3 linked regions of the Arabidopsis thaliana genome follow. The protein of the gene in region 1 interacts with the protein of each later gene in a pairwise test. Each region holds a gene or a part of one and is shown on either strand. Other genes may lie near its edges.

Region 1 (4,290 bases):
CGAGAATGTTGATCCTAACAAACCCAAAAAGCCTACTTCTTCATACTTTCTCTTCTGGTATATACTTTAAAACCCTGAATCCACAAAACAATCAGATGCTAAACTGGTTTTATAATCTCAAATCTTTTTACAGCAAAGACGCAAGAAAGAGTGTGTTAGAAGAACATCCTGGGATCAACAACTCAACTGTTACTGCTCACATTTCATTGAAATGGATGGTATATTATAAATCATGAAACTCGAATCCAACGAGTAAGATTTTATCACTGTTAGTTGTGAAATTGAGTTGGTTTTGGTTACAATTTTGTTGTAGGAACTTGGTGAAGAGGAGAAACAAGTTTACAATAGCAAAGCTGCTGAGTTAATGGAAGCTTACAAGAAAGAAGTGGAAGAGTACAATAAGACCAAGACTTCGTCGTAGAGAAAGAAAAATTAGAGAATGTTCAAGTTTGCTCATATTGAACATCTCTACTTATGCAAAATGACTCTGCTACTTAAATCGCTAGGCGCTAATCGGGATTATATTAATCTCAAGAATATTCAATACTGTACTACTTAAATCGAATTGTGGAAAAAAGTGGGGAAGCCTGTGTTAATCTCAGCCGTTGGATCAAATTGAAAATTAACGTCGAAGATTGGAGAACTTCCTGTGGAAGTATTTGTTGAGATCAATCCAGTGAAATCCGACGGACCAGAACTTCCCACGTGGTGGTAAAACGTTCCACCACCGTTGATGGACTCGTAAGTGTATAACGGCGACGTGACGGGGAATGAGAAAGCTTCGCTTCCAAGTCCGCCGGTACGTACGGTAAGACTGGCCCTGAGATTCTGGTAATTTACTGCTACTGTGTGTTTTGGTTTGGTTTCTCGTTTCTCTGGAAGTGGGATCCCCTGTGAACAAGTGTGTGTTCCTCTGTATGTTACTTCGAAGATCGTTGGATCACCGTCCGATCTTTGGACTTGTTTCGTAGCCCAACAGTACTGTGTGTTACGAAATGTGCATCTGTAATAACTCCTGCAATAAAAACACAAATTAGTCCTAAATTAGTAAAACTAAAACTAATTTTTTCTTCTTCTTAAAGCCACGTAAATTTAGCCAAAAAAAACTATCTGATTATATACAAATCCGACCTTCATATAGCAAACTCGGATAATAATTTTAAATATCTAATTTATCTTGTATTATATTCAGAATTATTCATTACATATTCGATATTTAAATTATGCAAAATAGTTTTTAATATGAGAATACACTTTGAATAGTAATTTTAGGTATATATTACTCATATAATTATACTCAACATTTATCCGCTGCTATTAACCAATCTTTTAACAAATGTACTATTCGTAAACATGATGATTATGATGATGATGATAGAGTATGATGATGTACCTTGGGAATTTGGCGCCCAAAATGTCTTTCTGGCCATATTTTCTCCAGCTGAAGATATCGTCATGAGGTCCTTCTAAGCCTCTCTCTGGGCTAATTCTCACTTGCTCTGTCCACTTTGGCAACATCTTCCTGCAAATTTTCATTAATTGTCAAATCTCTAATTCAAAAAATCTGGCTATTTTTTTTGAATTCTAATATTATTATTATTATTATTAAATTTTAATAAGCTTTTCTCTTCTTTATAACGCTAATTTAAGTTCAAATTTTTACCTCTTTTTAGAACTTAAGTTGAATTCTTTCGATCTTACATTGAAAAACTCTTCGCTTCTCGGATTTCCGGTGATCGATGCTGGAGATCCTGGAACCTTTCCGGGATGAGCTAGGGGATCAGGCGCAAGCTCTATCGTTGGATTGTGTTGTGTGGTGGATCCGTTGAGCATCAAAATAGCTTTTTTGAAGGAAGAAACTATGTTATGTAAGAGATTCTCCTTTATCTCCGTCGTCAAATATGAAGAAGAAGCTGACAACGATGGAGAAGACGAACCCTGAAGCTGCTTGGCCGCTTTTAGTCCATGAATTAGCTCGTTTAGCAAACTCCTCCGCTCCCAATTCATCATTTCCATGTTACTTTTAGTGTCTTGAGTAAATTCGAAAGGCGGTAAAACCCCGGTTTACGGTGACCGGAAGAAATAGTTATGAATTTTTTGGAAAAACTTTTGACATTGAAGGTGAAGAGATGTGATAGCTTTTTAACTTTTTTATAGTAAGGTTTAGATTAAGAACATGTGATTGTGGTTTAGGAAAAAGATGTGAGATTTTTGGTATTTGAATGATGAGAATGTACTAAAACGAAGCGTGTTCTTTTGGAATTTAAAGGTTTTAAAAGATATGTTTGAAAATTTGACCAAGTGAGCAAACTATTAAACAAATAGGAAAAAGATTCAAAGTTGAGAAAGTCTTTGGTCTTCATTAAGAATATATCGTTTCAGAGTGTATAAGTGGTGGTGTTTACTATAGGTCAAATGCTGACCAAATCAACTTTGGGTTTATTTTAGTTTAACCAAGTTGATTAGTTATTTAAATCTAGTGGTTTACTAAATAATTATATTATTAGGATAGAAATAAACTGTACCTTTTCCAAGTATTAACTTTGTTAAGGTTCTTTTTCAATATCTATCTGCAAAATGTACTATTACATTGATTTCTATTTTGGTAGCAACAAACCATTTCTTGTATAACTTGTTATTCTATTGACGACAACCGTTTTTGTATCATTTATTTTGTTTGTGTTCAACATCTTCAGATAGTCTACCAGATTTAAATATGAAATATATAGCATAGCAGACTAGCAGTTATAGCACAAATATTAGATACCAAATCTCAATTATAAAATATAGTACAAAATCAGGATGAGCTAACTAAATAAGTTCAACTGTATTTTGACATTCTAATTAATTTCTAACATTTAAAGATGTAAACAAAATTCCATGATATCTTAGAAAGTTACAGTATGATTGTATGAAATGAACCATAAACTATTACAGAGAAAAGTGAGATGACACATACATTCATAATTCAATACAAGATCGTAAAAAAAGGTTTCTGCTGACCAAGTCCATCCATCGTCAAAGACTCAAAGTGTATCAAATTAAAAGAAGTTCCATCTGAAATTCCATATCTCATGATTGATCTGTAACTTTACTGCCATTAGTTGATTTTTTGTCTTAATGGACTTGGAAGATTAGTTTTTGCTATAACATATTGAAAGTATATCCGTTTTCATTACTAAGTCCACGTACCTACGTGTTGTGTAAAGTTAAATACGTTAATGTGACATTGTGATGCATTAGTGTATACTTAAACTATAAACAAATATTTAGAGTCTTAAAAATCTTATCTTATTATATAAAGTATGGTTTTCAAAGTTTCTAACTCATAGGATCGTGTCCACGTGTCAAGTCAAACGATCAGATGTTTACATGTGTCATTTAAAATTTAACTTTTTTATTCTCTTAAAAAAATAGAAAATCTTAAAAAGTAAACAAATTTACATATGCTAATTAAGTTACTAACTCATAGAATCGTGCCACGTGTCAAGTCAAACGATCAGATGTTTACATTTGTCATTCAAAATTTAATTTTTTTATTCTCTTAAAAAAAATAGAATCTTATTATATAAAAATTAAGATACAAAAATTTAACTTTTTTATTCTCTTAAATTCAGCATCTGCTATTTAGGCGGGTCTAAGATACAAAAATTAAGTTTTATCGATAGAAATTTGTATAATAATCAATATATTTTTCTTGATATTTAATTTAATAATTATTGGTTTAAACAAAATTTCAGTCTTATCCATTCTATTTTAATTATACACACTCAATCTTATGAATGATATTTGAATTCTAAAAAGTAACCGATCATCATTCTATATTTAATTTAATATCTAGAAAAGAAAAAGAAAAAATAAATTTATATCTTACACATTCAATTTTGTAATACAGTTTAACTATCTATGTCATCATAATAAACTCGATTTAAATTCTACACACTTCATATTGAATGATAACATTTTCATATCAAAATAATATTTATGACATATCAAATCTATATCCTATTTAGTATTAAAAATAATTAAAAATTAACAAAACATAATTAATAGGCCTAGGCATAATACCCCAACCCTAAGAACCGATCCGAACCCGAACCCAAAATTTTCAAAGACCCGAGCGGTTCTGAACTTCAAAACCCAAAAAACCCGAACCTGAATAGGTATCCAAACATATCTCATATATAAGTATATATTAGTTATATTTATACTTGTATACAGAAAATATTAGGATTTTTTCGGATATTTTAATTATTTTTGTTTATTTTTAGATATATTCAAGCAAAACTA
Region 2 (3,628 bases), on another chromosome or scaffold:
GAATGTGTATACTATATATGTTTTTGGCTCAATGATAAAGACACTTGATAAGAGATTCAGGATCGTTTCAAATTATTTTAAAAAACTATATATAATATGAAAAACACTTTAATACTTAAGAATACTATTTGTAATCCGTAAAACTTTAAGTTCTAAAACCATTAATTAAAAATAAGAAACAAGTTACGTTGTACATATAAACTAAAAGACGGAATGGAATATGATTTGATTGTAAAAATAACTTTGGACAAAATCTTCCAATTATAAAAGAGAGAACAAAGAGTTCTAATCATATTGATTGGTAGGTCATGAAGAAGCTTAAGGAGTGATTGTAGAAGAGTGGAAGTGGAGGCGACAAAGTGAGGAGACACGTGGAAAAAGGCACGTGACGTGGGGAACGTGAAATGTTGTCGATAGTGTTTACTGTCTCGTGCTTGCAAAACTATATGTATGTTTTGGAGTGTGAGAATTGTGACGTATCCTCAGTCCTTAGTCCATAGGCGAAGCATCTCTCATTAGCTCCTCTCTTTAAGGTTACGCATTCATTACTCATGCTTCCCTTCTCTCATTTTCTTTCTTTTTCTATATTCCCCTCTATTTGTTTCTTCGCTTCTAATTTATTACATGTAACGTACAAAACCAAGAAGCATGCACTTTTTTCTGGTGACCAAAGTTTAATATATCAACCGAATTGACTATACCACATACATGTTTCTATCTAAATCCAATGAATATTACACAAATAGAATCTTGGTGTGCCAACCAAAGAGAAGCATTTATTAAAGTCACTATTTTGAATACTAACGACGGATAAGACTAAGATCACCAATATGATGTGTTTTGGTCTCTGCCATGAAAAGATACAGAAATTCTGATTAAGATTTGTGGGAGATTAGCACCACTTGATTCACTTTGATTGCTACACATAAAAGGTTGGTAAATTGGTTTAGTATTGGAAAAATATAGTAGTGGTTGGACTTGACTATAGATGCTTCATGATAAGATAAATTAAAAGGAACAATCAAATTAGTAGAGGAGTGTAATTACTAACAGCGACGTGGATTAAAATCATGGAAAGCTCAAACTCTTGTCATGCTTAGATACAATGGAGTCCACGTAGACTATTTTCAATATTTTTTGTCATAATTAAAGAACATTATTAGAGAGTTAATGACGTACATGAGACGTGTTTAGCAGTTGATATTCAATTTAAAAAACATTTTGACATACTTTAATGCTAAAACAAAAACATTTTTTTTGCTTAAAGTGTCTCGCGGTTATAAAAAAAACCTTAATTATGGAAGTGTTGTTTGTCGAACCCACGAATGCATCAATGCGCGTCACGATAGTCTCATGCATTGAACTTGATTTTACTAAGACGGATAATGAAGTAAACTATGTATTGTACATTGGTCTACATTTATTTAAGAAAACATGTTCTTATCCGGTTTAGAACTATCTTGTCTACGTTCATATGATTCCTTAAATCTAAGCCTAAACTTTTTAAACTAAATCAGTCACAGTTTCTTATTCATTTATAGTGTTTTAACAAAATAATTCAGTTAATTCTAAAATCCAACCCTAATTATTTTATAAGAAATCAAACAATCTTTTTTCTTTTTTTTTTTGTTAAACGAAAGGTAGTACTAGGAGTCGAGTATATTTACATTGAAACAAACAAAATTTAATTAGAACACACCCAGCAAAAAAATCCGAGCACAAAGTCAAAACCAACACTTTGACCAAGTGTCTGCATGACACGTGTATTTGTCTGCTACATGGACAACATCTTTAACAACACTGTCTCATCATTCCACCATTTTCTTTAATTAAAAAAAAAACATATCAGAAAGACCATTCCAATATTATTACTTCTTCCTTTTAAGCTCTAACAATTAAATAAAAATTTCCATTCTCTATATATAATACACACACGTTCAAATCATTAATCACCTGTTTTAGATAAAATCATAGAGAGAGAGAAATAGTAAAAGAAATAAAAAAAAATGGGAAGAGGGAGAAGCTCATCGTCTTCATCGATAGAGAGCAGCTGCAAAAGCAACCCATTTGGTGTGTCTTCGAGTAATACTCGGAACCTAAGCACGGACCTGAGACTCGGGCTCAGCTTCGGATCATCTTCCGGACAATATTACAACGGTGGAGATAACCATGAATATGATGGAGTCGGTGCGGCAGAGGAAATGATGATCATGGAAGAAGAAGAGCAAAACGAGTGTAATAGTGTCGGAAGCTTCTACGTGAAAGTGAACATGGAAGGAGTTCCTATTGGGAGAAAGATCGATCTTTTATCTCTTAATGGATATCATGATTTGATCACAACTCTCGACTACATGTTCAATGCTTCAATCCTTTGTAAGTATCTACACACACTTAATTACATCTTTGCATGTAGACTTAGTTAATATTTATATTTGTTATACCTCTCTTTGCATGTATATAGTTAAGACCAAAACTAATGGCAATAAAAAAATTGTGAAAATAGGGGCTGAAGAAGAAGATATGTGTAGTGAGAAGAGTCACGTGCTAACGTACGCAGACAAAGAAGGTGACTGGATGATGGTTGGAGATGTTCCTTGGGAGTAAGTTCTTTTTTAATTTTAGTGTATTAAAAATCTCTAGTTAAGTATTTTTTTTGACATAATTATGTAAAAATTCCCTTTAATTAATGGGGACTTAATTGATTATGTAGGATGTTCTTGTCTAGCGTGAGAAGACTAAAGATCTCAAGAGCTTATCACTACTGATTTTCTAAAAGCAAACTTGGAAGAATCTAGGATTGACCAATACAGTCAGTGGTGGTGGGGGAAAAAGTTAGTTTTGTCTGAATGTAAATCACTTGTTCGAGATTTTATTCAAATTTTGTTTCTAGTTTTATTACATTTATAAAAAAATCGGTTGTAACTTGTAATGAAGCTATTTTTTTCAAGAAAAAAAGCTGTAGCTAATGCAGATCCTTTTTGGTTTAGTAGTTATTTTTATGGTTTTAGACATAGATTAGATAATACTAGAAATATGAATTGTTTTGGAACACTGCTGAATTAGGTTCATATTCGTATTCTAGTTTTCACAAAGTTTCAGTTGAGTTACTAGTTTAACCAAATCAAGATCTATTTCATATTTTCATACTATCATTTACTTCTCAATTCAACTATTTTACCGGAATAAACAGTGAAATATAGTTGTTCTAGTTATGGAATCTGAAATTGAAAAATAATTGTCAAAAAATTTCAACAGACTCTGTCGGAGATATTACAATTGTTCCGCTCACCAAAAGCATTAAAGCCCATACAAGGAAAACAAAAACAAAAACTCTTAAGCCACTCTGATTATTTTCCTCACTGCACACAAATTTACACGAAAACAACAAAAGATGAAAGAAAGCATCATTTTTCAAAATCGAAGAGGTTTCTTCAGAATCAAGCAAACTGTGTTTCCCCTTTGATGTTCAAAACTTCACAGTAACTTACCAAGAAAGTAACCATGGTGATCTACTTAAACCACTTGATATCTCCATATTATTTTCCGATAACCCGAAACAATCAGATCCATGTTCCGGGAATATACTCTCTTTCAAAGAATCACAAGTAATTTCCGGCGAAACCCACTG
Region 3 (5,140 bases), on another chromosome or scaffold:
AATTTTGTTAGCCATGAGTAAATTGTGAATTCAATTGGCAATTATCGTTTTAATAAGACTAAAATATTATTTTTGACGGTAAAAAAGAAGACAGTAAAAATAATTCTTTCCCGATCTAAAATCAGCATAATTTTGAACTTAATAAAAAAATCATATTACTAAAACAATGTTCTCCCGAGTAAGTTGGTATAGCTAATGCAAAAAGAGTCCTTGTTGTCTCATCCCATGCCATAATCTTTGGATCATATCCACATGTTTTTTGATTGTACAAGTGAGATCTTTGATAGCAATAAACAATTTCATGTAATAATTACACTTACTTGTAGCTAGCAATATGGTTTGCTTCAAAATTACTCTGTCTCCTATCTTTTCGAGTACTTTCAAATCAAAGGAGGATATTTGTTTCATTTATTGACAAAAACTCGTACTTCCAAACTTAGTCTGGACAATACTTTAACAAGAAGAAAGAAAGTATATATATATATAGAACATAAAGTTATCTAAAGTTAATTTTGAAGAAATGGTGGTTAAGAGAGTATGTATACTTGATTTTGTTTAATGAAATTATAAGAAAAACGAAACGATTTTGAGAGCAATGGTTGACTGAATTTTCTCATGTGGAAGACTAAGACCAGGTCAGATTGAAACGACAACACGCTTTTAGTAATTCAACTTAATAACCCCTCCTCTCTCGAGTCTCGTCGACCTTCATTTTCTTATACTGTCTGTCCACTTCTTAGATTCTCTTTTCAACTTTTCAAATACCTTTCTTTTCTTTGAGCACCTACTTCAACTTCATTAATATCTTTTGACTAAACGGCAGTTTTTTTTATATAATTGATTTGGTGAAACTGTGTGTATGATTGGTATAATCTTCTACCAGAATGACAATAATTTGGCCGCTCACAAAAATCCTATTAAGAAGGTAACCAAAAAGTAGAAATATAGGCTGTGTGTAAAAGAAAGAAAAAAAACTGTGTAGAGATAAATTCTACATGCTACTGCTAAAGATTTAATTGTTTTTTTACAACCTCTGATTTCATATCTTGGTACTAATAGCTGTTTTACTTTAGGAGAAATAGTAATTTATGTATTTACCAGTTAATCATCAGATCCGAGAACCTTGTAATGGGCAAATAAATTGTGAAGATAATTATAAGGACACAACAAATATATGTTAATACAAACAATGTTGTTCCATGTGGGGGTTTTCACTAACTTGTGAAAAACTTTGAATTTATTTGTATTTCAGAAAAGTGTATATTATATGACGAAAAAAAATAAAGTATATATTATATATGCATTTTGAAAATATATGGTTAATAATGAATTCATCGGCGGAATATTAGCTGCTACGAAGTAATTGAGATCTCGAAATATATATATATGATTGGTGGGAAAGAGCAGGTTCATGTCTCCAAGTTCATTATTTTAACGAAATAATATTACGTACAAAATTTGCTGGAGATGAGGAGCTAGGTACCAAATTAAATCTTATAAACAATGGCTCTAGAGTTGTCACTCTTACGTTTGCATGTGTATTGTTTGATACTAATCTTTTGACAATCCAACTTGATATTCTTATTTTGATTATTAAGCCCAATTGAACTGAGTCTAATGACTAATGAGTATTACCTATATAGAAGCTCATGATTGATTTAATTTTAGTTGGTTGTTCTAAGCCTTTTCTTGTGTAAGTGGAACTCAAACCACGTGTTCATAGGTTTCACTTGTGTATGCACTCCTGAAAGGAGGATTAGACTAGTAGTCTTCCGTACGCAGTTCTACTTCTGCCATTGCCACTGCTACACTGGCTGTCGTTTCTTCTAGCGGACATAGCTCCCAGTTCGAACTCATTCACTCGTTTTTTGGTTTATGTTCAAACTTTCTAGGTACATAATCTTAAATTTTGATCCACATTCGAATAGACACATTAGACAAGGTCGTTCTCGAGTAATTCCTATTTTTTTTCCGGTTCGCTAACACTTTGTTCTGGGTTTAACCATACCGGTTTTTATTTGAAACGAATTCTATTAATTGTGGTTTAAGTTCCGGTTCGGTTTCGAAAGCACTAGGAGAAACTAAAATCCCTAAATTTTCATCGTTCCCTCTGCTTCTCCGACGGCTCGATACCTTCTCCTCTGGTCGACGACTCAAAAATCGCCGGTTATAGTTTTTTCTTCCGACCGTTTTCTAGTTTCGTCATTTTCCGTGTTATTTAACAAGTATGTTTACGTTGAGCTTCATTCTCTATTACGATGTCTTACCTCGTAGAGACTTTACCTAGATTAATCGGGGCATATCGAGCTTGATGTGATGTTTTAGGTTAGTAGAATCGAGCTTAGATACATCAAATTTGAGCAGAGTCTCTAATACTCGTGTTTTAGGTAGAAAAAGATGAATTTTGTTCTTTGTTATGTACATTAGCTTAAACCCTTGTTAAAACACAGTTAAGAACTTGTTGGTTGTTTATAAAATGGTCTTTTATTGAACTCTTTTACATGATTTCTCTCAGAGAAAGATAAGGTGTGGCTGCAATGTCTGAAGCAGAAAATAAATTGCCTTTCATACCAGAGGAATGGTCAAATGCAGCAAGTTCTGTTTCCTGCAGTTCGTTGCAACCGGTTATAGCTTTGGTCTGTGGCCCTAAAAACAGTGGCAAAAGCACATTTTCACGCAATCTTGTTGAAGTTCTTCTCCAAAGGTTATTACTTTCCGTTAGCCTCTCTTTATTGTTCCCGGTCTTTTAATGAGTGTTCGTGAGTCTGATTATTGGGGAAAACTGTCTTTTTTTTTTTTTTTTTTTTTTCCGATCAGGGGAAAACTGTCTTGACCTTCTACTTCTTATAATTTGAATGGAACCAGATTTAGTTTGAATGGATGCAATTTTCTTAAGTGGCTTATGATGGTTGCTTTGTTTCGATAAGTTTTGCTGACAATTGACCTTTGTGGTTCTTACAGATACAAAAGGGTTGCTTATTTGGATACTGATGTTGGCCAGCCTGAATTTACTGCACCTGGTTTCCTTTCTCTCACAATTGTTGATAAATCAATTCTAGGTAACCCTCATACTTATTGCTTTCACGATTCTTGTTGTTTGCATTCCGAAAACTTGTTTTCATAATGCTGTTTCAGTCACTTATGTTTCTGGTTATATTTTCTACTTTGTAGAATCGGATTGGACAGTTCCATGTGTAAAGACACCAGAGAGGTTAGTTTGGATCAAGCAAATTTTGTGATGTTAAGAATTTAAGCGACTTATTCCCCTTTCTCTTTTGTTTGATGATTCAGATGCTTCTTCTATGGTGATGTTTCTTCAAAGAGGGATCCAAAGGCATATTTAAGATATGTATATACCTTATTCGATTACTATCAGCTACACTTCTGCAAGTCTAGCGAGAACAAAACTGAATTGCCGCTTGTCATTAATACACCAGGATGGGTTAAAGGTAACTCACTCTCTTTATCCTTTCAAAACAAAAGGAACAGATTTTTTCTTTCACTAATAGAAATGATTCACAACCTTTAGGAATTGGCTATGAGTTATTGGTGGACGTGCTGAGATATGTTTCCCCTTCCCACGTTGTGAAAATTAACATCTCTGCTTACAACAAGAACCTACCAGCTGGGTTGTTCTGGTTAGACGGTAATGATGATGAGACAGCTCATTTGATAGAGATCCAATCTGCTTACCAAGACAGATATAATCAATCGTAAGTCCTGTACAATGCTAGTTATCGAATAATCTCACCGATACGCTTTGTTCGAGTAGTTACAAGTTTTTGTATCCTGTTTGTACAGCATTTTAATACATAAGGATGCTCGTTTGATGAGGGACATGCGTATAATCGCCTACTTTAGGCAATGCTTTAAAGGAAAAGAAGTAAACACGATCAAAGAACTAACACATGAACTCGCTTCCCATATTCCTTATGAAGTTCCAATATCGAGTTTAACAATCAACCATCTCCATTGTCAGGTAAAAAGAAAACAGTATAAAGGTCATATCTTTCTAATCCATATGATTGATGATGCCAATAATGGGGTTCTCTTCTTTTTAGATCCCAAGTTCTGAAGTGTATTATAGTTTGAATGCTTCCATTGTTGGTTTGGGCATTAGCACCGAGGTGTTTGAGGATTTGCCATCATGCGTAGGTCTTGGTAAGTTTCTATTTATCCATTGCAATCAGTGATCGAACATGGGTTTATGATTATGTATTGAAGTTGGTTTTGGATGTTGAATGTAGGAATCGTGAGGGGTATTGACACAGAGAGAGGAATATTATATGTGATCACTCCAGTACCAGAAAACTTAGTTGAGAAAGTTGATCTTCTATTGCAAGGCTATATTCAGTTACCTACTTGCCTCTTAGAGGTGAAGGATTACAGGTCGCCATATTTATCTGCCAACGTCTTAGCTTCCACCTGATTTCTTTTAAGACATTTTTGCTCAGTTCTTCGTTTTTACTATGTGTCAGTTTATCTACAAAGTTTCATGTTTTTTTATAGTTCAACTTACTATGCAACCAGGGTTAGATCATCTTGGAGACGCAGTTAGTTATGTGTCTTGTCCACACCTACTACTAATGTCACCATTTACAACTTATAATAATTTTCATTTGTTTTCGTAAATAGAAATCACATGAGAAAAGAGTTCATCAACAGTGCGCAAGTAAGCATTTCAAAAGGATACTGTAATGTTCCGGTTACAACTTCTAACCCAATATACACATCAAAACCACCTACCGGTCAATATTAAACCGAATTTCTATAAAAAAAAACACCGGTTTTCTATGGTGTTTAACAGTGATCCATTGAAGCACATTTGATGGTTTTTAAGGTTCCACCAAGTTCCATTGGAACCAAAGGTATAAGAGAATGCAAGACGTCTGTAATCAACGGTCTATAACTCGGTTCTGGCTGCACGCACAAAATCGCCACTGCCGCTACCTACACATTCACATGCTCGCATCAAAACTCTTGATACTATCTCATCAAAACCAACTATATACTTTGCACAATCAACTAAATCCTTCTCAAACGTACCTGGTAAAGGTGTTTCAAGTCCATCGTATCTTTAATCGCAGGATCTATGACGCTTGGTAACTTGGTTCTATCAGTGAGATAAGGCATTGCCTGA

The links.
Region 2: the proteins of WRKY41 (region 1) and IAA30 interact in binary tests that used the Arabidopsis thaliana proteins (3 or more experiments, as listed by UniProt).
Region 3: the proteins of WRKY41 (region 1) and AT5G11010 interact in binary tests that used the Arabidopsis thaliana proteins (3 or more experiments, as listed by UniProt).

Annotation. Positions count from the first base shown.
Region 1 is NC_003075.7:6,757,029-6,761,318, reverse strand, and holds WRKY41 (WRKY family transcription factor), read right to left. Parts: upstream 2,222-4,290; 5' UTR 2,017-2,221; coding exon 1,664-2,016; intron 1,523-1,663; coding exon 1,394-1,522; intron 1,042-1,393; exon of another isoform or gene 1,016-1,041; coding exon 556-1,015; 3' UTR 525-555; downstream 1-524. Other genes in the region: 3xHMG-box1 (HMG (high mobility group) box protein), read left to right, coding at 1-57, 134-218, 314-421. UniProt on the Arabidopsis thaliana protein: Transcription factor. Interacts specifically with the W box (5'-(T)TGAC[CT]-3'), a frequently occurring elicitor-responsive cis-acting element.
Region 2 is NC_003074.8:22,993,829-22,997,456, forward strand, and holds IAA30 (indole-3-acetic acid inducible 30), read left to right. Parts: upstream 1-1,857; 5' UTR 1,858-2,006; coding exon 2,007-2,373; intron 2,374-2,503; coding exon 2,504-2,600; coding exon of another isoform or gene 2,601-2,604; exon of another isoform or gene 2,605-2,710; coding exon 2,711-2,765; 3' UTR 2,766-2,981; downstream 2,982-3,628. Other genes in the region: AT3G62110 (Pectin lyase-like superfamily protein), read right to left, coding at 3,485-3,628. UniProt on the Arabidopsis thaliana protein: Aux/IAA proteins are short-lived transcriptional factors that function as repressors of early auxin response genes at low auxin concentrations.
Region 3 is NC_003076.8:3,481,639-3,486,778, forward strand, and holds AT5G11010 (Pre-mRNA cleavage complex II protein family), read left to right. Parts: upstream 1-1,993; 5' UTR 1,994-2,225; exon of another isoform or gene 2,226-2,515; 5' UTR 2,516-2,537; coding exon 2,538-2,704; intron 2,705-2,961; coding exon 2,962-3,059; intron 3,060-3,171; coding exon 3,172-3,211; intron 3,212-3,291; coding exon 3,292-3,449; intron 3,450-3,529; coding exon 3,530-3,713; intron 3,714-3,801; coding exon 3,802-3,979; intron 3,980-4,061; coding exon 4,062-4,161; coding exon of another isoform or gene 4,162-4,193; exon of another isoform or gene 4,194-4,247; coding exon 4,248-4,429; 3' UTR 4,430-4,629; downstream 4,630-5,140. Other genes in the region: AT5G11020 (Protein kinase superfamily protein), read right to left, coding at 4,801-4,950, 5,047-5,136. UniProt on the Arabidopsis thaliana protein: Polynucleotide 5'-kinase involved in rRNA processing.